4 linked regions of the Drosophila melanogaster genome follow. The protein of the gene in region 2 binds, or shares a complex with, the protein of the main gene of each other region. Each region holds a gene or a part of one and is shown on either strand. Other genes may lie near its edges. The genes, in order: eIF3c, eIF3m, eIF3d1 and eIF3g1.

What was found.
Region 1: eIF3m (region 2) and eIF3c share a complex: the UniProt entries of both Drosophila melanogaster proteins name them as parts of the eukaryotic translation initiation factor 3 (eIF-3) complex.
Region 3: eIF3m (region 2) and eIF3d1 share a complex: the UniProt entries of both Drosophila melanogaster proteins name them as parts of the eukaryotic translation initiation factor 3 (eIF-3) complex.
Region 4: eIF3m (region 2) and eIF3g1 share a complex: the UniProt entries of both Drosophila melanogaster proteins name them as parts of the eukaryotic translation initiation factor 3 (eIF-3) complex.

Annotation. Positions count from the first base shown.
Region 1 is NT_033778.4:17,663,701-17,670,417, reverse strand, and holds eIF3c (eukaryotic translation initiation factor 3 subunit c), read right to left. Parts: upstream 4,741-6,717; 5' UTR 4,602-4,740; intron 4,387-4,601; 5' UTR 4,352-4,386; coding exon 4,259-4,351; intron 4,197-4,258; coding exon 1,557-4,196; 3' UTR 1,433-1,556; exon of another isoform or gene 1,387-1,432; 3' UTR 1,143-1,386; downstream 1-1,142. Other genes in the region: CG30109 (uncharacterized protein), read right to left, coding at 1-31, 90-236; CG30108 (uncharacterized protein), read right to left, coding at 612-731, 786-932. UniProt on the Drosophila melanogaster protein: Component of the eukaryotic translation initiation factor 3 (eIF-3) complex, which is involved in protein synthesis of a specialized repertoire of mRNAs and, together with other initiation factors, stimulates binding of mRNA and methionyl-tRNAi to the 40S ribosome.
Region 2 is NT_033778.4:14,161,883-14,167,026, forward strand, and holds eIF3m (eukaryotic translation initiation factor 3 subunit m), read right to left. Parts: upstream 2,944-5,144; 5' UTR 2,650-2,943; coding exon 2,605-2,649; intron 2,489-2,604; coding exon 2,309-2,488; intron 2,255-2,308; coding exon 1,316-2,254; 3' UTR 1,184-1,315; downstream 1-1,183. Other genes in the region: O-fut1 (O-fucosyltransferase 1), read left to right, coding at 1-844; CG8323 (uncharacterized protein), read left to right, coding at 3,396-3,643, 3,707-3,842, 4,261-4,788. UniProt on the Drosophila melanogaster protein: Component of the eukaryotic translation initiation factor 3 (eIF-3) complex, which is involved in protein synthesis of a specialized repertoire of mRNAs and, together with other initiation factors, stimulates binding of mRNA and methionyl-tRNAi to the 40S ribosome.
Region 3 is NT_033777.3:23,678,084-23,683,458, reverse strand, and holds eIF3d1 (eukaryotic translation initiation factor 3 subunit d1), read right to left. Parts: upstream 3,421-5,375; 5' UTR 3,269-3,420; coding exon 3,070-3,268; intron 2,948-3,069; coding exon 2,312-2,947; intron 2,243-2,311; coding exon 1,950-2,242; intron 1,874-1,949; coding exon 1,319-1,873; 3' UTR 1,142-1,318; downstream 1-1,141. Other genes in the region: CG16710 (uncharacterized protein), read right to left, coding at 1-4, 77-689, 881-956; GILT2 (Gamma-interferon-inducible lysosomal thiol reductase 2), read right to left, coding at 3,619-3,723, 3,782-4,075, 4,201-4,365, 4,432-4,491; GILT3 (Gamma-interferon-inducible lysosomal thiol reductase 3), read right to left, coding at 5,108-5,221, 5,295-5,375. UniProt on the Drosophila melanogaster protein: mRNA cap-binding component of the eukaryotic translation initiation factor 3 (eIF-3) complex, which is involved in protein synthesis of a specialized repertoire of mRNAs and, together with other initiation factors, stimulates binding of mRNA and methionyl-tRNAi to the 40S ribosome.
Region 4 is NC_004354.4:2,608,484-2,612,899, reverse strand, and holds eIF3g1 (eukaryotic translation initiation factor 3 subunit g1), read left to right. Parts: upstream 1-2,563; 5' UTR 2,564-2,654; intron 2,655-2,717; coding exon 2,718-3,527; 3' UTR 3,528-3,653; downstream 3,654-4,416. Other genes in the region: Smyd3 (SET and MYND domain containing, class 3), read left to right, coding at 4,233-4,416. UniProt on the Drosophila melanogaster protein: RNA-binding component of the eukaryotic translation initiation factor 3 (eIF-3) complex, which is involved in protein synthesis of a specialized repertoire of mRNAs and, together with other initiation factors, stimulates binding of mRNA and methionyl-tRNAi to the 40S ribosome.

The sequences.
Region 1 (6,717 bases), 3.5 Mb from region 2:
GCAGCTCAATCTTTTGCTCCCTCATGGCGCGCTAAAGGTCAAAGATTGGGTCAACCAGCTGGATGATGAAACTTGAAACCTGGGCTTACCTTGACGCACTCCTGATAGACCCGGAAAATCGGCGCGCAGCCCGAGTCATCCGTCTGGCCCTTAAGGAAGCCTTCCGAGAACCAGCTGTTGAAGCAGGCGTCGTACTGCTTCTTTAGCTCATTGCAATCCTCGCCAATGCTGTTCATTTGTGGAGTGAAGCTCTTTGAGTTTCAGTTATAATTTCTCTATTGAATAATAAGTCGAAAAAAATGTGAGAATGGTTTGTGTGAGGGTCATACTACAGATAAGCTATCAGAGATGTGGGACACAGCATATCGATGTACGTTTCGTTGAAACTGAACGTGCTATCGAAATTTGAATTTTCAATTCTTTAAGAACATCTAATTTATTTTAATAAAGGCACTCTGGTTATAACGAAATCAGTTGTCCATGTTTCATGATGATACTATTAACAGTCAAAGTACTACGAAATGTTTCTCTTTACAAGTATTTTGTAGCGCGTGCAGCCACCAATTAACGCTGGCGAGGATTAGGATGGCTATATGGAGCAGCTTACGGGGTCAGCTTTCGCCCGCCTGCTGCTGTTTTGCATCAGATCTATTCGCATTATTCTCCTCAAGCCCGGTTTCGAAGATCGGATCTATCTCTTGCAAATCGATCTTCTTCTCCTTAATAGCGCGCTGGGGATTACAGGTTGGTCAAACCATACGTGGTTAGGGAGCCGATTAGCTCACCTTGACGCATTCCTGATAAACCCGGAAAATCGGAGCACACGCTGAGTCATCCATTTGACCTTTTAGGAAGCGTTCAGAAAACCAGCTGTTGAAACAGGCATCGTACTGCTGCTTCAGCTCGTTGCAATCCTCGCCAACGCTGCTCATTTGTTTACTAGGTATATTTTGGTTTTAATTTATAATGCCTATTATAGAGTTCCGAAAAAATGTGACAAAGGTACGTCGAACGGTACTACTGAAGAAAAGGTTTCAGAGATGTGAGAAAAAAAGAGCATATCGATATCCGAAGTTTTGCAGAAAACGAAGCTTGTCATCGAAATTCAAATGTTATTCTTAGTTTTCTTAAATTTTCAAAAGCCAAAGTGTTAAGCCGACTAAAATAATACTCTTGTTAGTACATATAAATTTAATATTAGTTGTTGGTAAAAATTTGCAAAAAAAAGTCACTGATTTTGTGTCTCTTGTTTTTAAGGTTTCTTTTTCGGTTTTGGGTTCATACAAAATGTAGTTATTAGTATTATCATTTAACGTAATGAGCGCTGAAACAAATGTTCGTGTGACTTGGCTACAACAATATGCAATGGACATGATAAAAACAGACCTCCGACCCAGCCTGAAACCGAATCGGAGGCCTGAAAGCATGTGACCCAACGTGTTGTCCATGGCCATTCCATTTTAATAGTCGAAGTGCTACAAATTTGATCTGTTTAAGTTTTGCTGATGTTTAAGCTAACGCTCGCTAGAGAGGATGGGCTGAGGTTGCAGCAACGTCTACTCCTCGTCGATCGTTTGGACTTGTTGCTGTTGCTGCTGCTGCCTATCTTGGTTGTTCTTGTGGTGCCCGCGCTGGTTACGGTTCCGGTTGTTGCGATCCCGCCGCTGGCCGAGCCAATTGCCGCCCTGGTTGTTCTGGTTGCGGTTGTAGCCACGGTCACCGCGATTGCCCATGTTGCCGCGCTGGAAGAAGTTGCCCTGCTTCATGTCGAACACCTTTTCGTTGACGTCCACCAGATTTGTGACCTTGTCCACGAATTGCATGGCCAGGGCCTGAAGACGCGATGGCTCCGAACGATGCATACCCACGGTTTCGGATGGATCGTCCAGGCTGGCCATGAGCTCCTCGTTGATGATCATCTTACTGATGATGGAGTGCACTTTCGGCACGGGCAGCTCGTACATCTGCGCCAGCGAAGGAATGCTGATCGAGGTGTAGACGTTCGAGTAGGTGAACAGGTAGGTGCGCAGCGATTCTTCCTTAATGAACTTGGTCAGCATCTCGCGCACGCGATCAGACTCGTAGAAGAGGTCCCACACTTTCGTGTTCATCTTCTTGTTGACAATGAAGTTGGCACACGCCTGCCAGTTGCCGCAACGCATAGCCTTGGCAGCAGCCACGACATGCTCACGCATCGACTCTGGTGGACCCACCAGTGATTGACGCTCCGAGGAACGCAACTGCTGGTAGAAGGTCTTACTGATCATGCGGCGGCGGGCGTCGAATTCATGGGCGGCAATGTAAGGAATTTCGAGCAGCATAGCGGACACCAGGTAGACACATTCAAGCAACTCAAGGTTGATGTGCATATGGAATGGCATCTGGCGTTGCTTCTCGATTTTCTCCTGCTCGGCAGATCGCTCGTGCTGGCGCTGAGGCAGCAGTCCTTGAGCGAGCAGCTCCTTGGGCTTGCCGGTGACCATCAAGTCCACTAGACAGTGATGCGCATCCTTGACGTTGCCCTGGCGGAAGGCACACAGACCCAGATTGGCCATCATACGGTTGTACAGGATGCGGGTGGCGGGATCGGCGGCATCAATGTTGTCCTGCAGATGAGACATCAGCACCAAATCACGGGCCTGGAACCAGTTGTCGTGCATAGCATGATGGTAGATGTGCGCCAGGATGGCCCTCGTACGGATACGATCCGTATCGTCCTTAGCGTAGATGAATTTGCACAGCTTATCCATCACGTCTACGGAGGTGGAGGTAGTGGCTGGCAGCTCACCGCGCTTCTTCTTCAGCACCTCCGGATCGAACTTATAGTAGAGATGTTCGATCTTGCGCAGGTAGATGCGACAGCGCTCGTTGTTGGTGCCAGAGCGCTCGAAATACTGCAGCACCAGTTCAATAGTCTTAACCACGTTCACCTCGTCCTTCAGCCGGGACACGTAGTCGTTGGAGTGTGGATCGCATTCCTTCAGCAGCTTAACAAATTCGTCATCCAGGCGCTCCACGGCAGCCAGTGGGCATCCCCTCACATAAAACGGTGACGTAGCGTACTCCTCATGCTCCTCGGCCACGCTCTCGCTCATAATAATGTCGGCGTTGGCCAGCAGGAGCTTCATCATGCTCTGCATTACCTCCAGAAGCAGGGCCCAGTGTTCTAGCTTCATGGGCTCGGAAATCTTCTGGTTGTAATCGTAGATAGCCGAGATGATGTTAAAATGAATCTTCACGGAGACGGCGGTTCCCAGGTTGTGCTGATCAGAGATGTCCCTCAACTCGAAAAGCAGATCGATCTGCAGACGGCGATCGGTGCGCTTCTTGCCGCGAGCCGACATAATTTCCAACAGCTTGGCCAGCACTAGGGGAACATCGATCTCTGCGTCCTTTTCGAACATCTTGGGCTTCTCTACTACATGACCCTTGACCACAGTCTCCCACTCGCCATCTTCATCGTCCTCGGCGCGCTTGCGGATCTTGGTCTTCTGCTCCTTACGCTTGTCCTTCCTCTTGTCATCATCCTTTTCCTCCTTTTCGGTAGTACGCTTCAAGAATCGCTCGCGCATGTTCTGATACTGGTTCTCATCGTCAGAGGACTCGGTCTCCGATTCAGAGTCCGAGTCCCAATCAATGGAGTCATCGGAATCGTCATCATCGGCGGGCGCAGCCTTTGCCGGCGCGGACTTCACAGCTTTCGGAACCGCTTCTGTAGGCTTCACTCCGGCGTCGCTGTCATCACCAGCATCGCCGCCGTCGCTCTCCAGGGCAACCACCTCGTCCTCGGCCTCGCTCTCCTGGTCGGGTGCTTCACGGAAACGCGACAGATCGTCCTCGAAGTCCTTGATGTACTTGCGTACCTTCTGGCGCAAAGTGCCCAGCGACTTGGAGTTGTTCTTGGAAAGGTTTTTCCTGCCCTCGCGATCCTCCCACACCTCGTTGATGAAGTCCTCCAGCTCGGCCAGGCAGCGAATGTAAAATCGCGGCGTAATGCCGTTCTCCTCCTTTGAGATGACCGGCAGTGCCTTCTGGTAGGCGCGCGTCAGATCCTCGAAGCTGCTCAGGGTATTGGGAATATCCTTGATTTTCTTGTGGTTGCGAATGGTTTTGATGATGCTGGTGAGGTTCTCGTAACGCTTCTCCTTCGTGGAGCGGACCACGCGCTTGACCTCCTCCTCATCGTCGCTGAATTGCTGTTTTCCACGGAAAGGAATAGATTAGTAATGGATGAGTTTCACATCTGGGCGGCACTTACGAAGGCGCTGGCTTTGTTGAAGTTGGTCGCTTGGATCTCCTCCTCGCTGGACTCGGACTCCGATTCGGACCCGTTGGCAAAGAAACGCGACATCTTTGTTGACTTTCTACGCGGCCGTTTGTCTGCGCCTGGAATCACAATTTATTAGTTTCGGGCCACATAAGATTTTGCTTTGTTGAGGTTATGTTTGAGCGGCCAACATGGCGTTTTGCAAAAACGTATGCCAAATATTTCCGCATGACATTTGGTTGTTTCATTCGAAGCCCTGGCAGAAATCGGTTCACTGCCTTGCTTTTTAAGTGTTTACTACCACCTGGCGTTTGATATTTCACAATAAACTTACTATTTTACAGCAAAACTAAACGATGTCGAATGCACAAGACATCAAAAAGAGAGACTAGAGATGGGCGATGGTTGCATGTGTTTTCGTTGGCGATATATATTGCTCAAAGTCACGGGGCGGGGCGTTTGATTTATGTATTAATAATAACTGTCATGTTGAGAAATGATTACTCTCTACTAATATTCGTAAGGAGAGCGTTTTAAACATTTTTTTAAATGTAACAGAACATTTGTTTTTTTATGTGGCGGACCAACAGTTACCGAAATCTATCCCATCTCTAAGGGAGTCACTGTTTTGACTGAATGCGAGCGCGTACTCATCGATAACGAAATGCCGGCACTTCTCGAGATATATCGATATCAAGTAACCGGTTGGGCGGTACATTTAAAATAAATCCATTAAATTACATAGCAAATATATCATCAAAATGAAATAGTGGCCATTTAAGTAACTATTCAAAATAATGTTAAAAAGATAATCAGTGATCAATGCTTACATAGATGTTGCATTGGTGACCTGCAACATTTGAAGTTGCCAGCAACATGTTGCTGCGCTTGCGTGCAAAAGTGCCGGCATTTCTTAGCCAAACAGAGTGGGGTTCCCATTCTGGCGCCCCAACCAATCTCCGGATCAATTGGTCCGGCCAACATGCAGCCAGGCAGCCAAGGAAAGGCCAAAGCAAAACCAAGCCAAACGTTTTCGCGCGCGCCAACAAGTCGCATGCGTTCTCTCCTCCGCGCCGACGGACAGTTCAAGTTCAAAAACTCAATTTTTCGGATGTACTCGGCGATTTGGCAGCGTTGATGCCAATATCCGGCGATAGAGTCTCAAGTGCTTTTGCGGCCCGCTAAAAAGAATTCAATAAATTCATTCATTTGAATTCTTGTGTGTTGTGTTGTGTCTTGGCGGTGTAAACAAAATTTGGCCCAAGTGTGCGGTGTGTGCGTGGCATGTGCTCTGCCCATCCACATCCTGTTTAAGTGGCATCCTAAATGAGATGCGACGCCCGGAATCGCTTGAAAACACGAGTAACACGGAAAACACTTTAACGCAAATGTAAGCATAATAAATAATAACTGCAGATTGATGGAGATGTGTGTATCTGCGGTCTCGGAAATGGCAAATTAAAAATTGATCGGTTAATCTCGCGTAATCGCCCTTTTCCTGGCTTTTCGACAGCTGACATTCGAGAGTGCATATGGCGGCTTTATTATCCGGAGAAATTGATGAGAGCTCCATAAATTCCCTGTCCGCCTATCGACATTTGAATCCGTAAAGGGTCCGTGAAATAGTACGGGTTTCTGCTCCTTGACTCCTCCGAAACTGCAGCTGCAATCGTAAATTGTGTGTGGGTGCAAAAGCTTATATGCATTTACATACATCCAAATCGGCAAAAACGGGCCCCTTTTTCCTGGGGTTCTGTTTCTGTTTCCGTTACGCTTTTGTGCTGTTTATTTTGCTTCCGTTTTCCGTTGGATTGTTACGGCTTGTGCGGCCCCATAAATCCTATATATGGGTTGGATATTTTCAAAACCGATGCTCGAAACAGACTATAGAAATTTCCATTTAAATGCGATTTCTGCCCTTGCTCGAGCATAGATTTCCTGTTGATTGAATACAAATGTTGAGTTACGCAATTTCAATGAATAATTCCTAATAACTACTCCCACGTTCCTGCCTCCATTTTAATTTAGTTTTTATTGATAAAACCGATGCACTTCTTTTTCATTCAATTCGTCATCATCCATTACACAGAAAAAATGGCTTTATATTTAGATAAATATTTTCCTGAAATAAAGTATTTCTTATTCGATAATATTATATTTTTAATAATTTGCCTTCTCTCAATTTGAAAATATTTTAATTCCTATGGATATTTTAATATAATGGAGCATATTGTAAAATTAATGTCCGCTTACTACAAAACTCTTTTGCGAATAAATTGAATAGTTTCTTTCCATGCACTATAAATTCTGCGTGTTTTTCATTTCAATTTAGGAGGAGCAGACATAAAGGTTACAGTCGTAATCAGAATCTTGAGCTCATGTTTTATTCGGGGATTTGGACAACACCCTTTTCATGCTGCACACTGAGTTTCCACAAGACGGAAACTCCC
Region 2 (5,144 bases):
CTACAAGGAACGATATAGCCTTCAGCAGGAGAAGAACGATCCAGACAAGCCCAATTGCCACGCCAAGGATGGCAATCCTTTTGGTCCCTTTTGGGACACTTTTCACATAGACTTTGTGCGGTCAGAGTTCTATGCGCCACTTCATTTTGATGTGCATCATAGCAACGAGGCTGCCAAGTGGCAGACCAAATATCCTGCAGAATCATATCCCGTACTCGCGTTCACCGGAGCTCCGGCTAGTTTTCCTGTTCAGCTAGAGAACTGCAAGCTGCAGCGCTACTTGCAGTGGAGTCAACGGTATAGGGAAGCATCTAAGGATTTCATCCGAGAGCAGTTGCCTCGGGGTGCCTTTTTGGGCATTCATCTGCGCAACGGTATCGATTGGGTGAGAGCCTGTGAGCACGTCAAGGATAGCCAGCATCTGTTTGCCTCGCCGCAGTGCTTGGGCTATAAAAATGAACGTGGTGCACTCTACCCGGAGCTCTGCATGCCCTCCAAGGAGGCGATCATCCGCCAGCTAAAGAGAACCATTAAGAACGTGCGCCAAACTCAGCCGGACAACGAAATCAAATCAGTTTTCGTGGCGTCAGACTCCAATCACATGATTGGTGAACTAAACACGGCCCTTAGTCGCATGGGCATCAGTGTGCACAAGCTGCCGGAGGATGATCCTTACCTGGACTTGGCCATTCTCGGACAGTCGAACCACTTTATCGGCAACTGTATATCCTCTTACTCGGCATTCGAAAAAAGGGAACGAGATGTGCACGGTTTTCCATCGTACTTCTGGGGATTCCCCAAGGAAAAGGATCGTAAGCATACAAACGTGCACGAGGAGCTGTAATGGAGCAACAGGATTATCTACTTAAATACTCGAATAGGCTATTTTTCGGTTTTCTTTCCTAATACTAGACAGTTTTATTACATTGATTAAGCAATATTCTGGACTTCACTTCTTAAATGGTTAAGGTAAAAGTTTCAACTTACAAATTTAATGAATTTACTTTTGAATGTTACCAATATTTAGTGCTTTTAAAGAATATCAGTATATTTATGTTTTATTCTTTTAGCTTTAATTCTTAAAAAGGATTTTAATGAAACCCGTTAAATGCCTTCAAAAACACTACAACTTAATTGTAAGCTATTAAAGTATTCCTCGCATTTATGAAAACACTTGTTTGCTACCGATTTTACTTATAAATTTATTCAAGTTATCCAGCCCTCTCGCATTCTTGAAAATAATTTAGGTCGTCACTCCAGTGCCCCGAGGCCAGCATTTGTTCATCATCAGTGCAATTTTTTGGAAGTGGTGCGCCTAGTGTATCAGCTTCTGGGATCGAGCCAGATCCAGTTGCGCCGAGGAGACGCTCGTTAGACCCTCGCGCACTGTGCTGAGGTTCTCCTTCCATGCCTGCAGCAAATCGCGAAGCTGCTCCCATTGTGGTGCTCCAAAGGTTCGGTGCATTGTCGATGAGATGTGTACCTTTTGATTGGCCTGATCTAGTCGTGCGCGTACCAGCTTTGTTTTCAGCACCTCGATGACGAAGGGCTCCACCTCGTCTTCGTTGATCTGCAGCTCCTTGGTAAGCGTTTCGAATGTCATCTCCGGGCTGCTCTCGGCCAGCTGCATGAAGGTCAGCAGACGCATCTTCTTCATGTTCTGCTCATGGTTCAATCCTTGCGAGTTGACAAACTCCCTGTGATCCTCGTAGAACTGCACGTACGCTGGCAGCTTCTCGGACACGAAGATGGACAGCAGGTCGTGGATGAGGTCGCCTTCCAAAAAGCGCACAGGCTTCAGCGACAGCAGAGGATCCAGCAGGAATGTATTGGGGTCGGCCAAGGCAGTCACAATGCACTTCATGGCATCCTCACGGGCAACACAAGCATTGTCCGCCGTGTAGGTGCCCAGCAGCTCAATCATAACCTTGGAAGACAGCTCCAGGTTGGTGTCCTTGGTCACGTCGTGCAGCAGGCGGTACAGCTTCTGCATCTGTTCCGACGAAGGTGGGCAGTTGGCAAACTGGGATTTGAGCTGATCCACACCTGAGAAGACCTCCAGCACCTGTTCGCACTGCTTGGCCACCTGGACCAGGTGGTAGTACACATGGTAGCGTAAGGGAGAGGCGGTGTCCAGGTTGTTGAACAGACGCCACAACGACTGAAGGCACACCTTGCCCAATGGAAGATTGGGAGCCTTGGTCATCTTCTCGCAGTAGGCCAGGACAATGTTCTCACCGCGATCCAGGGGTATCTGAAATATTGAAGGTTATTTTTTGTTGCTAATATTGTATTCTGTATTACTCACCGTGATCATGATGGACACAATGCTGTTTAGAATTCCATCAATCTGCGAGGGCTCACCATCCTTAAAGCAAACGTCGCAGACGCCGATGATCTTGTGCAAATCATCCTCCACACCTTTATTGGACTTCTCCGATGAGATTTCGGCTCCCAGCTTCTTGAAATACTTGCGCAGCTCTTGCACCTTTTAATAAATTGCGAATAATATTAGTTTTGTTTTGCAGCAAGAGGAAGACATAACCTCAATTCGGGCAAGGCGCCGCCCGAATTCATGGCTAAAACAGGGCACTTTCACTCTACCTGCTCGTCCAGGGACAGGTCTATGAAAACCGGATGCGAAGTCATGGTTTTGTTAAATGTTATTCCACTTTTTTAAACAAATTCAGCTGAAAATAACACGCACACACGTCTTCGGCGCTTTGACAGCTCGAAAGGAAAGAGAGCGACCAGTGCTGCCGGCCTGGTCCGTTTCCCGCTAATAGCGATGCTCTCAAACAATTGACCGAATTAAATTAAGATGACGTTAACGTGGCCACTTAAAATATATAATATTCCTCTGAAATTCATTCAGTTCAATAAAATTAAAATAGTTATGGCTTTGCAAGTGTATTAATGCTGACATAAAAATCAATTTTATAAATGTTTTGACGGGACTCTAGCTAACAATAAATGTGGGCAAAAGTAGTGTTCCCGGATCTTCTGAAACATATAAGTCACTAAGTGACTTCTTAGCCGTACCGTTACTAACGTTCTAAAACCCGTTTCTCCTGAATTTTAAATTTACCATCCAGCAGTTATTTATTTTACATTTATCACTTTACAGTTAAGCAAAATGACACGATTTTTGTTAAATTGTTAATTTGGCGACAGTCTGGCAACTCCGCTGCTACTAAGTTATATTGCTCGCCAAATTTATATTATATTTGTATAACGGGCGAGAAGAGCAGGAGTAATGCCAGCTAATCGGGGCGGAGAATTATGAAATACACGACACACACGCAGCGTGCGGCTTCCTAGAGCCACAGAGATTCCGCAGCAGGCGGTACAACCGTTACTAGTCAACCACTATCCTCAGCAGAACTCGTGATTACATGGCTACATCGGATTTTGTTCTGGGCGGCCTGGCCTCCGTGGGGGCCACCTTCTTCACCAATCCCATCGAGGTGATCAAGACACGGATCCAGCTGCAGGGCGAGCTGGCGGCACGGGGTACCTATGTGGAGCCCTACAAGGGGATTGTCAATGCCTTCATTACGGTGGCCAAAAATGATGGCATTACGGGGCTCCAAAAGGGCCTCGCACCGGCCTTGTACTTCCAGTTCATCATCAATTCCTTCCGGTGGGGAATTATTTAGTAGCTATATTTTATAATTATTAATCATCTTGAATTTACATTCGCCAGGCTCAGCATTTATTCGGAGGCAATGGAGAGGCGGTGGATGCACAACCGGAAGGGTGAGGTGTCCTACGGAATGGGACTACTGTGGGGCGCCATCGGCGGCGTCGTGGGGTGCTACTTCTCCAGTCCATTTTTCCTGGTACGCCAATTGTGGGAATGCTGCGGGAGGTTACATAAACAAATACATAGTTTATCTAAATGAGCCGCGTGCTCATCAGCATTATGGACCTTCCACAGATAAGAGACTTTATTGGCAATTGTCCATCAGTATCTAAATACTACCATTTCAAGATATCCAGGGAGAAAGTATTATACTTCCAAATATTCCATATTTTTTGACTGTTTATGGTTGTTTGCATTGCTTATTACTTTATGACATAACGCATTTATTGTTAGCCTATTTATACCAAGACATTTTCAAGATCTAGAAACAGAAAAATATTCGCTAAATAACTTAATAAGTATTGTAAACATTAACATATTATCACAGTCAATTCTCTTATGTACAATGTCTATATTTCTATATTATTATTTATGGTCCTTTCTTTTGCATCCAGATCAAAACTCAGCTGCAATCACAAGCCGCCAAGCAAATCGCCGTTGGCTACCAACATGCCCATACTTCCATGACAGATGCCCTGCGTCAGATCTACTCCAGGAATGGAGTACGAGGACTGTGGAGAGGATCTGTGGCCGCATTGCCCAGGGCGGCTTTGGGATCAGGTGCCCAGATAGCCACCTTTGGTAAGACCAAAGCCCTGTTGGTCCAGTACGATCTGGTGACCCAGCCCACGTTGAACTCCTTCTCGGCTGGCTTGATAGCCGGATCCATTATGTCGGTGGCCATAACGCCGCCAGATGTAATCACCACGCGTCTGTACAATCAGGGCGTAGACGCCGAAGGACGCGGTCTTCTTTATCGCGGTTGGCTTGACTGCTTTGTGAAAATCCTACGATCAGAGGGCGTTTATGGTATGTACAAGGGGTTCTGGGCCAACTACTTGCGCATTGCCCCCCACTCAACCCTTGTGCTGCTATTCTTTGACGAGCTGGTCGCCGTACGCACAAAGTATAGTAATCAATGACCCCAAAGATCACTGGCTAGGTAGCATTAATTTAAGTACAAAATTGTTAAAATCGTTTTTACCACCCGGAAATATACACATTGCTTTTTATTATTAAGCCAAGCTTTGATAAACAAATTTGATATGCAAGTGCCGCCGCATACAATTTGTTTGTCTAAATCTGGCTTTAGTCTTTAGTGAGTTAGCTTAATGTCCTAGTTCCAATCTCTTAGATTAGCAAAGCCCCAGAACCAACTTGTGCCTTCATTAAGCTAATTTAAGAGCTCTTCCTGTAGCCATTAACCGTGCAATATTTTGGTGAAATAAACCAGTTTAACTGTTACATTTTAACGCATATTGCTCTCAAGTCTTAAGCA
Region 3 (5,375 bases), on a different chromosome or scaffold from region 2:
ATAGCTAAAGACATATGAAATGTATATATATATATATATATGTAGTAAAAGATATGACAGGTCAAGTGCAACTAACCGTACTGGAAACTTCAATCGCAGCAGGGCGATGTCGTTGTAGGGCCTTTCCTCGAAGACCATGTAGTGCCTATGCTTGATACTCAGATCGACGTCAATTTCCAGATGCTCTGGAGCGCAGTGTTCCCTACCATTAATATGGGTGACGCAGTCGGGATTGCTTAAAATGTTATGCTCGCCAAGGCGCACCCTCCTGAGATCCAATCCCGTTATCCTCAGACAATGGGCTGCGGTCAGCACATAGCGGTTTGTGATCAGGGATCCAGCGCACCTGGACACGAGTCTTTCATTCCACACCGAACGGCTGCGATGCGCATATAGAATCAGGGCCATCCAAGGCAACTCGTTGGGTTGCGTCTCCTCTCCTCCGAAAATTCGATAAGCCGGCATGATTGGTCCACATATCTGGGTATTTGGCAAAATGTGTCCCATATTTGGGCAGCAGATGAGAACTCTGTCCAATAATTCCTGCCCCTTGGGGCCATAGCCGCAATATCTGTCCTCGAATACCGCCTTCTCGGCTGGCGTCATGTTGTGGGGCTTCAGAAAGGGCAAGAGTGATGTGCAGCGGGCTAGACTAATGCATTTCTCATCCAGATTACAAGGCGGATATTCTGATACAGTAAAGAATTGGATATTAATAAATATTATATTATGTGAGTCATTTTAATTGGATGTTTAGATAATGATTGGACGAAACAAAGCTATTTATATTTTAAAATTCAAGGAAATACCCATATCCAAATGAATCATTTTCTTGAATGTTATAACGTATACAATGTGGAGTACTTGCAACATATATTACCAGACTCAGCCAGGTACATCAGCAATTGAGTATGCAGGACCAGGAAGGATATGTACACTCTTTGTAGGAAGACCATCTTTAACCGTCAGAGTTTAAACAATGTCTAAATCTTAACTAGATGCCCGACACGCACAATCAGCTTACTATATATGAGTCCGGGAAATGAGTCAGTCATTTACGTACAAGACCTCGGTGTTTCAGTCGAAAGTTTTTATCACAAGTACCCGGCATTAGACCTGGACCAATAAAAATTCATGTATTGTTTCGCCCTCTGTGATTTACTAGGAAATATCTGAATTTAAATCGAATACAAATGCTTAAGCTAGGGCCTATAACATGACCTTTTCCTTTAGAGGACATCAGTTGTGGTTATTCTTAGCGGGTTGTGGCAAAAGAGCCCAAGACTGGAAGGGATGCAGGAGTAGGGGGGCGTGGCGTCTAAATCTTGTTGTGCGCGTAGTTGTAGACCTGCTGGAAACCTTCGTCATCGCCCTCGCCATCGTCCGAGTCATCGGAGTCGAAAGTATTGTCTGGGATGTCGTACAGACGGATGATCGGCTTGTTGGGGTCCTTCATGATCAGGTATTTGCCATCCTTCTGCTTCATCACCAGATCGATGATGCATCTCAGGATTCCCCAGGCGTTGTCCATGCTCAGGTTGATCTGAGTGGCAAATTCATGCGGCTTGAACTGCTGCGTGCCGAGGATGACGTGACGCGAGTGATCTCTCGGATTGATACGCGACACATAGCCGAGCTTTAGCTGATCGGACCCGGCCAGGACGGCCTGCACAGTCCACTTGGCCAGCTTGCATGCGTTGTTCCTCAGCTCGTTGGCGAGCACAGCACCGCGCTGCGTGTCCAACTTTTGACGCCATTCCACGCCATTGGCCAACTTCGAGTCCCACTCGTTGAGTGCCTTGATAGTCATGAACTGCGGCTCGCCGCTTGGCGTCTGCAGGACACCATCGTGCTCGCAACGCGCTACCAGGACCTAAAAGTATAAGACAATAGTTTAACATAATATAGAAAAATATTCCAACTTTAAAGTTGGATTATGCAACACTTACAATATCGCTTCCCAGCTCCCACTTCTTGTAGCGGTAGCCCACGCTGGCGACTTGGATATCTTCGTCCTCGCTGATGAAAGGGTTGCTTTCCTCGAACTTGTATTTGGGTTCCTGGTCTCCAGTCTTAAGCACCTGCTGGCTAAAGTTGTGGTTAATGAAAGTCGCCTCGATGGCCAGGTTGCGAGGGGAGTTGCATGAGCTGTCGTCGTCGGTCGGTGGTTCCACGCTGCTCTCGTTCACGGTCAACAGATCGAACTCGGTGTGGTCACGCTTGTCCATGAACACCTTGTCGCCTAAAATAAGGTTACAATTATTATTTATTTCTCTTATTATTATTATATTTCGTATTTCATTTAACATACCAACTTTCTCGATGACAATATCCCAGGAATAGTTCGATCGCGTAGAGCACATGATGGTGGCCAGGATGGCGTCCGTGGCGAAGACATTGCCGACGGTCTTAGACAAACGCCGGATGACGGGATCGTCTGTGGTGGTCACCGTATGCACGATGCGATCGATCTTCTGCAGCGGCTTCTCGTTCTTCACATTGATGCGGTCGTAGGTCTTGTCGTAGTACTCCAACGTGCCGCAGGTGACAATATCGACGCCCTCCTTGATGTTGGGCAGCGACAGCTTGATGAGTCGCGGGAAGTCCATCTCCTCGATGGATGCCCAATCGGCGCGGACGGCCACCGAAGATTCGCGCATCTTTGGTGGTGGTCCGCGATGACCGAACTTCTTGCCCATGCCGCGACCATGGCGCGGATCGCGGGCCTTTACATTCTTGCCGCTGAGCGTCGTCATGCCGTGAGTATTAAGGCCACCGCGGGCATTCCTGCCACGACCGGAACGCGAATTCCTCATGTTGCGGAACCGGCCGCGCTGGTGCGGCGGCTTCTGGACGCGGGCCGTGTCCACCAGGTGGAAGGTTGTCTCGTCCTCCTCATGGTAGTACGAGTACTGAATGCCCGTGCCAAAGCTGGAGGCATACTTGTCTGCGAATGGAATACCAACCACCAATATGTTAGCAACAATATCATGCCACGACACACCTACCTAACCTCACTTTCGGCGATTAGTATTTTGTGGGTCGGTTTCGGGTGGGGAATAAACTCACTCTGGTACTTCTTGTCGTTGTTCGACGTATTCGTCCAGTCGCAGATCTTGCCCAGACGATCGTTCTTGCTGAACGGCTGGTACGGCACATCCTTGAACGTATCGGGCAGCTCGCAGGGACCCCAGCCCTTTTCATTGAACTGCACGGTCGGCTTCTCGAAGCTCGGGAACTGAGCCGCGGTGTTTATGGTCTCGCTCATCTCGCGCGTTTACCTGGTGCTCAGTCTGCAGTCGGCTATTCGGTCTATATACAGCGATTTTCCAGAAATCAACAAAGAAATGTGGAAAATTCGTATCGTCGCGTGTTGCGAAAATAGTTGAGTGGGACCGTTGTCGCGTTGAAATATACCACCGCCAAAGAAAAATACTAAAATCGTAGCGAATGTTCAAAGGTCTGGCAGCATGCTGTCATAGATGGCGCCACTGCTGGGCGGGAAAACTAAAAATTCGAACTATTCATTTTTCAGAACCTGATTTTACGATTTAATTACAAAGAAAATGCAAAAAATATTTTTTAATAAAAAAATGTATTGTTAAATGAACACAATATTTATTGACAATTATTTAGCTGCTTATTGAACTTTTCCTTATACTTGGCGCAAAAAATGGCATCAAAATGATCAGTTAAGTTTGCTGATAGATCCGCGTTATAAACCTTAAAATCACAAAGTTTTATTTTAGATTTCATGAATTTCTTTCGCATTTAAACTCACGTTATCCAGAGCTACGGCTGGCACTCCCTGAAATGAGACCTTGGCCGTTTCCTTGCCGTACTTCCTCAGAATGTCGTTCACCTGTCGCGTTTTCTTGCAATTTTTGACATCGCCCACGTCGATTTGATAGTGGTCAGCGCACTTTTCCAGCCTGTTCTTCTTACCCCTCATCATGCAGGCGATCAGCTTGAGGGATTGGGCAATGTCATGGTGCTCCAGTATGCAGGCGTGCCACGCGTTCAATTCGCACTCCATCACTCCGTGCTGGCACTCCACATTTCCGTCATCGTTCGTCTGGAGGGGATTAAGCGAAGTTTAAGTGCGGATTAACGCTGATTGACACTCTAAAACTTCAAATTGAGCTATACTATGTACTTGTACTATAACTACTAGTTTAAGCTACGAAAAATGAAACCTACCCTGGCATTTCCATAAGGAACCAGCGTAAGATCAGTGAATGGAAGTCGATCCTGACGGACCATCGAGGGATTGAGCTGCGTGGTCACGAACTCCATGCAGTAGGGACACAATGCTTCGTAGTACAGGGTGATCGCCAGTCGGTCAGCTTGCGGTCCGCGCAAACGCTGCAAAGTCACGATCAATGGGAGCGTCGCAATTCGGGATTCAGTCCGATCAACTGGGTCACTTACCCTTGGCGTGGCCACGCCCACCCATCCCAGCAGCAGACACACAAAGACAGCCGCCCTCATGGCAAATTCAGTTTAATCCCGAGCTGATCTTGAAATATTCGGCCGCTCAACGCCAGCGAACGCTCGACACTGAAATAATTCCGGGACTTGTAATGCGCAGCGTTGTCACTGCGTTTCGTCAAATTCGAAGCGGCCAGTGGCGTGGTTAGAAAATGCTCAAGGGGGGCTCAAAAATCATATAAGTTAAAAAAAAAATAATTATTTGTATTGCAATAGTAGGGTGACTTTTCGCTTGTTTTTTATAATTTTTCTGTAATATATCCGCTTTTGAAAAAATTAATATAAATATATAGATAAAGGGTGTGACTAGCCAACCAATTCGACGCCCCTGCTGTCAACCAGCATTTTCCCCTTTACATTTATGCGCTGACTACGGAAAACTTACTGAGCAGCGGGGTTTTAATCTTATTTTTAGACCACCAGACAGCTGTTTCTGATTAGAATCTGTATACAAAAACATGACTGATAAGCTGATATGTATATACTATACACATGTAAATTTTTATTGGCCCCAAGTGAGTCAGCGAGTAAGCAAACACTCCAGTTGGTTATAATTATTGTTTATTGGTCTTGGAACATTGAAACAGTTAAATTACTCAGTACATTACATAAAAGTTTACAAAATTGCGGAACAAGTGGGCAGTTTGATGTTGAACTTTTTCAGATACTGCCGACAGAAGTGTCTTTCGAAGTTGTTGCGAATGCTTCTCTGGTCGTAAGGATCAAAGTCCTGCGGATCAGAGGGTAATGTTAAGTTAAGTCTGGTATTTGATCATGTAAGCCTGGTTGGGTTGGTTACTCACATTCTCGAACACAATGGTGGGCACAAAGGAGATGCCCAGTTTAAGGGTTTCCTTGCCGTAGGGCGCCAGTATTTCTGCCGT
Region 4 (4,416 bases), on a different chromosome or scaffold from region 2:
CATCAGCCTTTGACCCATTCTCTCAGTAGTTGGAATGGAAATGCGAGGATTAAGAGATGGAAAGCATACCTTGAGGAATATGACTACGAAATTTTCTACAAGCCAGGCAGAGAAAATACTGTAGCCGACGCTCTGTCCAGAGGACCGACAGTCGAACAAATTAACACAGTAGCCTCAACAATGCACAGCTCTGACAGTTCGAGCCATGGGCTGATACCTAGCGTTGAAGCCCCGATAAACGCATTCAAGAATCAAATTTTCTTCAGGGAGTCCGAGTCAGAGAACTACTCATTTAGCATTCCATTCCCGACATTTCAAAGGCATTTAGTAGATCGCAACTTGTTCACACCCGATAGTCTCTTGTCAGATTTGAAAGAATATCTTAACCCATCCGTGATTAATGGAATTTTCACATCCGAGGATGTAATGGGGAAAATTCAAATTCTCTACCCCATCCATTTTCAGGGTTTCAAGATTAGATTCTGCCAAAGCAAAGTCAAAGACCTTGTTAACGAAGCCGAACAAGAGGAAGAAATACTTAGGACACATAACAGAGCACACAGAAATGCTGTGGAAAATAAAGCTCAGTTGTCCGAAAGAGTATACTTTCCTAAAATGAGGAAAAAAGTTTCGGCTATCGTGAATCAGTGTTTGGTGTGTAAGACTGCTAAATATGACAGACATCCCACGCATCCAGAAATAAGACAAACTCCCTTGCCAGAATACCCCGGACAAATTATTCATATTGACATCTACTCGACAGAACGACATCTGGTGCTCACGGCGATTGATAAATTTTCCAAACTGGCCATGGGAAGAGTTATCAAATCCAAAGCTGTAGAAGACATTAGGAAAGCCCTAAGAGATATCGTGTTTTATTATGGAGTGCCTAAATTAATAGTAATGGACAATGAAAAGTCCCTCAACTCAGCCTCTATCAAATTCATGTTGACAGACCAGCTGGGTATTGAGCTCTACAAAGCACCTCCGTATAAGAGTACAGTAAATGGACAGATAGAAAGATTTCACTCCACACTCTCTGAAATAATGAGATGTTTGAAAGGAGATGGAACACATAGGGGCTTCGAGGAACTTCTCGATAGGGCCATCTATGAATATAACTACACTGTCCATTCTGTCACAAAAAAACGACCTCTAGAGGTGTTCTTCGGCAGGATAGCTACCGTAGCTCCAGAAAAATATGAACAAGCTAGACTGGACAATATAGACCGACTTAGGCAAAAACAGGAAACCGACATAGAATACCACAACCGGACAAGAAAGCCCATAAAAACCTATATCAAAGGGCAAGAAATTTTCGTTAGGGTTAATACAAGATTAGGTTCTAAGTTATCAAGTAGATTTAGGAAGGAACTAGTTAAGGAAGACCGAAGTACCACAATATTAACAGAATCAGGGAAATTAGTACATAAAAGTAACATAAGATCATGATTGCTTCAGAATAATTACTGTGGCCACATCGATAGACAAGTAGAACATAGAAACATTAAACATACTGATTAACGTAACCACGAGAATTAAATTTGAAACGATTCGACTTTGACAGACGAGTTGGCCATAGGTTTGCAGAATTAGATTGGGCTCGTGAAAGAAGAGATTGCGTTGTGAATGCGTTTCTGCGGAGCGAGTTTAAATTGAATGAGACCAGTAGCCTACTTGAAAACAATATACCGATTTCTGCCTTGACGGTCAAATAAATGTTAAAACTTTCACACGTTCTCGCTTTACACAACGGAACTACAATTTGAATGCCATTGAAATCTCCATATTGAATCAGTTAATTCCTTATTTCTTATATTTTAAAACATGATCAGTAAAGGAAACTAATAATAATAAATAAATAATAATTTAATTTGAATAATAATAAAATTTACCAATTAAAGACGAAATGTACGGAATCAATGCCTTCTGCAAAGGTTCCAATGGTCTAAAAATATGTAGATATAAATTCATTAGTAATTTAGTAAAAACCAGAATTTTAATAGAAGCAATCAAGTTGTCAATGCAGAACACATCCGAGTTGCACAAACCTCGAACGCACGCAACAATAAACACCTGGCATTCAAACCATTAATGCTGTGCCCAAACTACCACGAATCACCCCACCAACGATGCGACTCAAAAACATCCCATCCTTATGATGACCGCTCGAGGACAAGCGTCAATTAAGAGGGGAGGAGTTATTGCCCTGCAATTGATTCTCTAACATCTTGTGGTTCCACATAGTCTCCGCTGCCATCAACGCCAACGAACGGTTAAGCGCGACATCGACACTTCTGCGCTGCGCCGCGGCCGACGCCTGCTGCGCCGCTGCCGACGACTTCACTTGATTGCTAGGGACTTAGGGAAACATTTTGTACGCTAGATTTAGTTTCAAATGATAAATTGCAATAAACGGTCGCTTGCGATCTTCAAAATCAAATCGATAACTTATTAACTTATATGTAACGAAATTTCAAATGGTATATTCCAAAAAGTGCAAAGTGGTATTAGCGGTATATTTTTTGGACACACACGGCATATTTTTGTGACCGCGGCAGGGTAACACTCTTTTGTTGCTGATTAAAAATCCGCTTAACTCGTGGCGAAATTTGCATTTACGATTTCGCATACAAATCGCGTTGAAAATCAGAGTGAGTGCACCCCAAGCAAGCGCCCAGTGTAGCCCCACTCACTGCGCCCTCAATTCCTTTCAGATGCCGGGCGTTGAAACGATCAAATCCTCCTGGGCGGACGAGGTGGAGCTCGACTATGGTGGACTACCTCCGACGACGGAGACGGTGGAGAACGGACAGAAGTACGTGACGGAGTACAAGTACAACAAGGACGACAAGAAGACGAAGGTGGTGCGCACGTACAAGATATCCAAGCAGGTGGTGCCCAAGACGGTGGCCAAGCGACGCACCTGGACGAAGTTCGGCGACTCGAAGAACGACAAGCCCGGCCCCAACTCGCAGACGACCATGGTGTCCGAGGAGATCATCATGCAGTTCCTCAACTCCAAGGAGGACGAGAAGGCCAACGATCCGCTGCTAGATCCCACCAAGAATATTGCCAAGTGCCGTATCTGCAACGGTGAGCATTGGTCGGTCAACTGCCCGTACAAGGGCACGGCGATGGACACGAATATGATGGAGAAGAAGGCTTCGGCAGCCGCCGCGGCCGCCGTCGATGCGCCCAAGTCCGGCAAGTATGTGCCGCCGTTCCTCAAGGACAGCCAAAAGGGCGCGCTGGGAATGCGCGGACGCGACGACACGGCCGCCATTAGGATATCGAATCTGTCGGAGTCGATGACCGAGGCGGATCTCGAGGAGCTGGTGAAGAAGATTGGACCGCAGAGCAAGATGTATCTCGCCCGCGACAAGAACACCGGACTCTGCAAGGGATTCGCCTACGTGCACTTCAAGCAGCGCAAGGATGCGGCCGCCGCCATCGAGATCCTCAATGGACACGGCTACGACCACTTGATCCTCAGCGTCGAATGGTCGAAACCCCAGAACAATTAGTTAGTCCCGTTCCCACTACCCGCGTTTACTGCTCATAGGAGTCCGTTCGAGTCGATCACACAATTTGTCCCTATGCTATGCTAAGTTTGCTACAAATAAATCTTAAAACAGCCCCCATGGGCACCGAAAACCAGATGACTATGCTCTGCAAGGATACAATGGCATCTAGAATCGTATATTTTTCATATTTGATATAACTTAATCGCTCTTCTTTAGTTTTGCGGACCAACCAACACAAATGCTTTCGACTTTTGCTCTAATATAGCTTTCTCCCTCGTTTTAAAGGACGCAAGGCCACCAAATCGTAGACACTGGGAACAACATATAAAAGAAATATTTTTTATTTGTTACTTAAAAAACTTGAATATGATTTGTTAAGTGTATTTTTTAACGACATGCAGCTACCCACATATGGTTAACAAGTTAACCTTACGCGGTGCCCACTGTAGAAAGCATGATTCCAGCCGATCTGGCAACGCCATCGTTTGCATGCGAATAAACACCATGGTGTTGTTGTTTTTGTGTTTGCCAGCGATTTGCGTAAATTGTGTTTGTTTTTGTGGCCAAAAATAGAAATCAGATGCCGCAAAATATTCAAAAAGCATTCGAAACAATATTTTTGATCTTCAGGTGTGCGCTCATTTTCAGTCGTCAGTGAGACGGGCCCCCAGGCGAAAGTCTTTGTTGTTGCTCCGTTCGAGCGAAATGGCCACCGCCACCGTTGGTTCATCCAGATCCGCAACCACATCCGCAACCGCATCCGCATGCTCATCCAAATCCAAGAACCTAAAGAATCCGGCGCCGCAAATAAAAAGGGGACAGCGGATCCTCACGGAGAAACCATTCGCCTTCGTCTTGAAATCACAGTACCGCCTGGAGCGGTGCGATA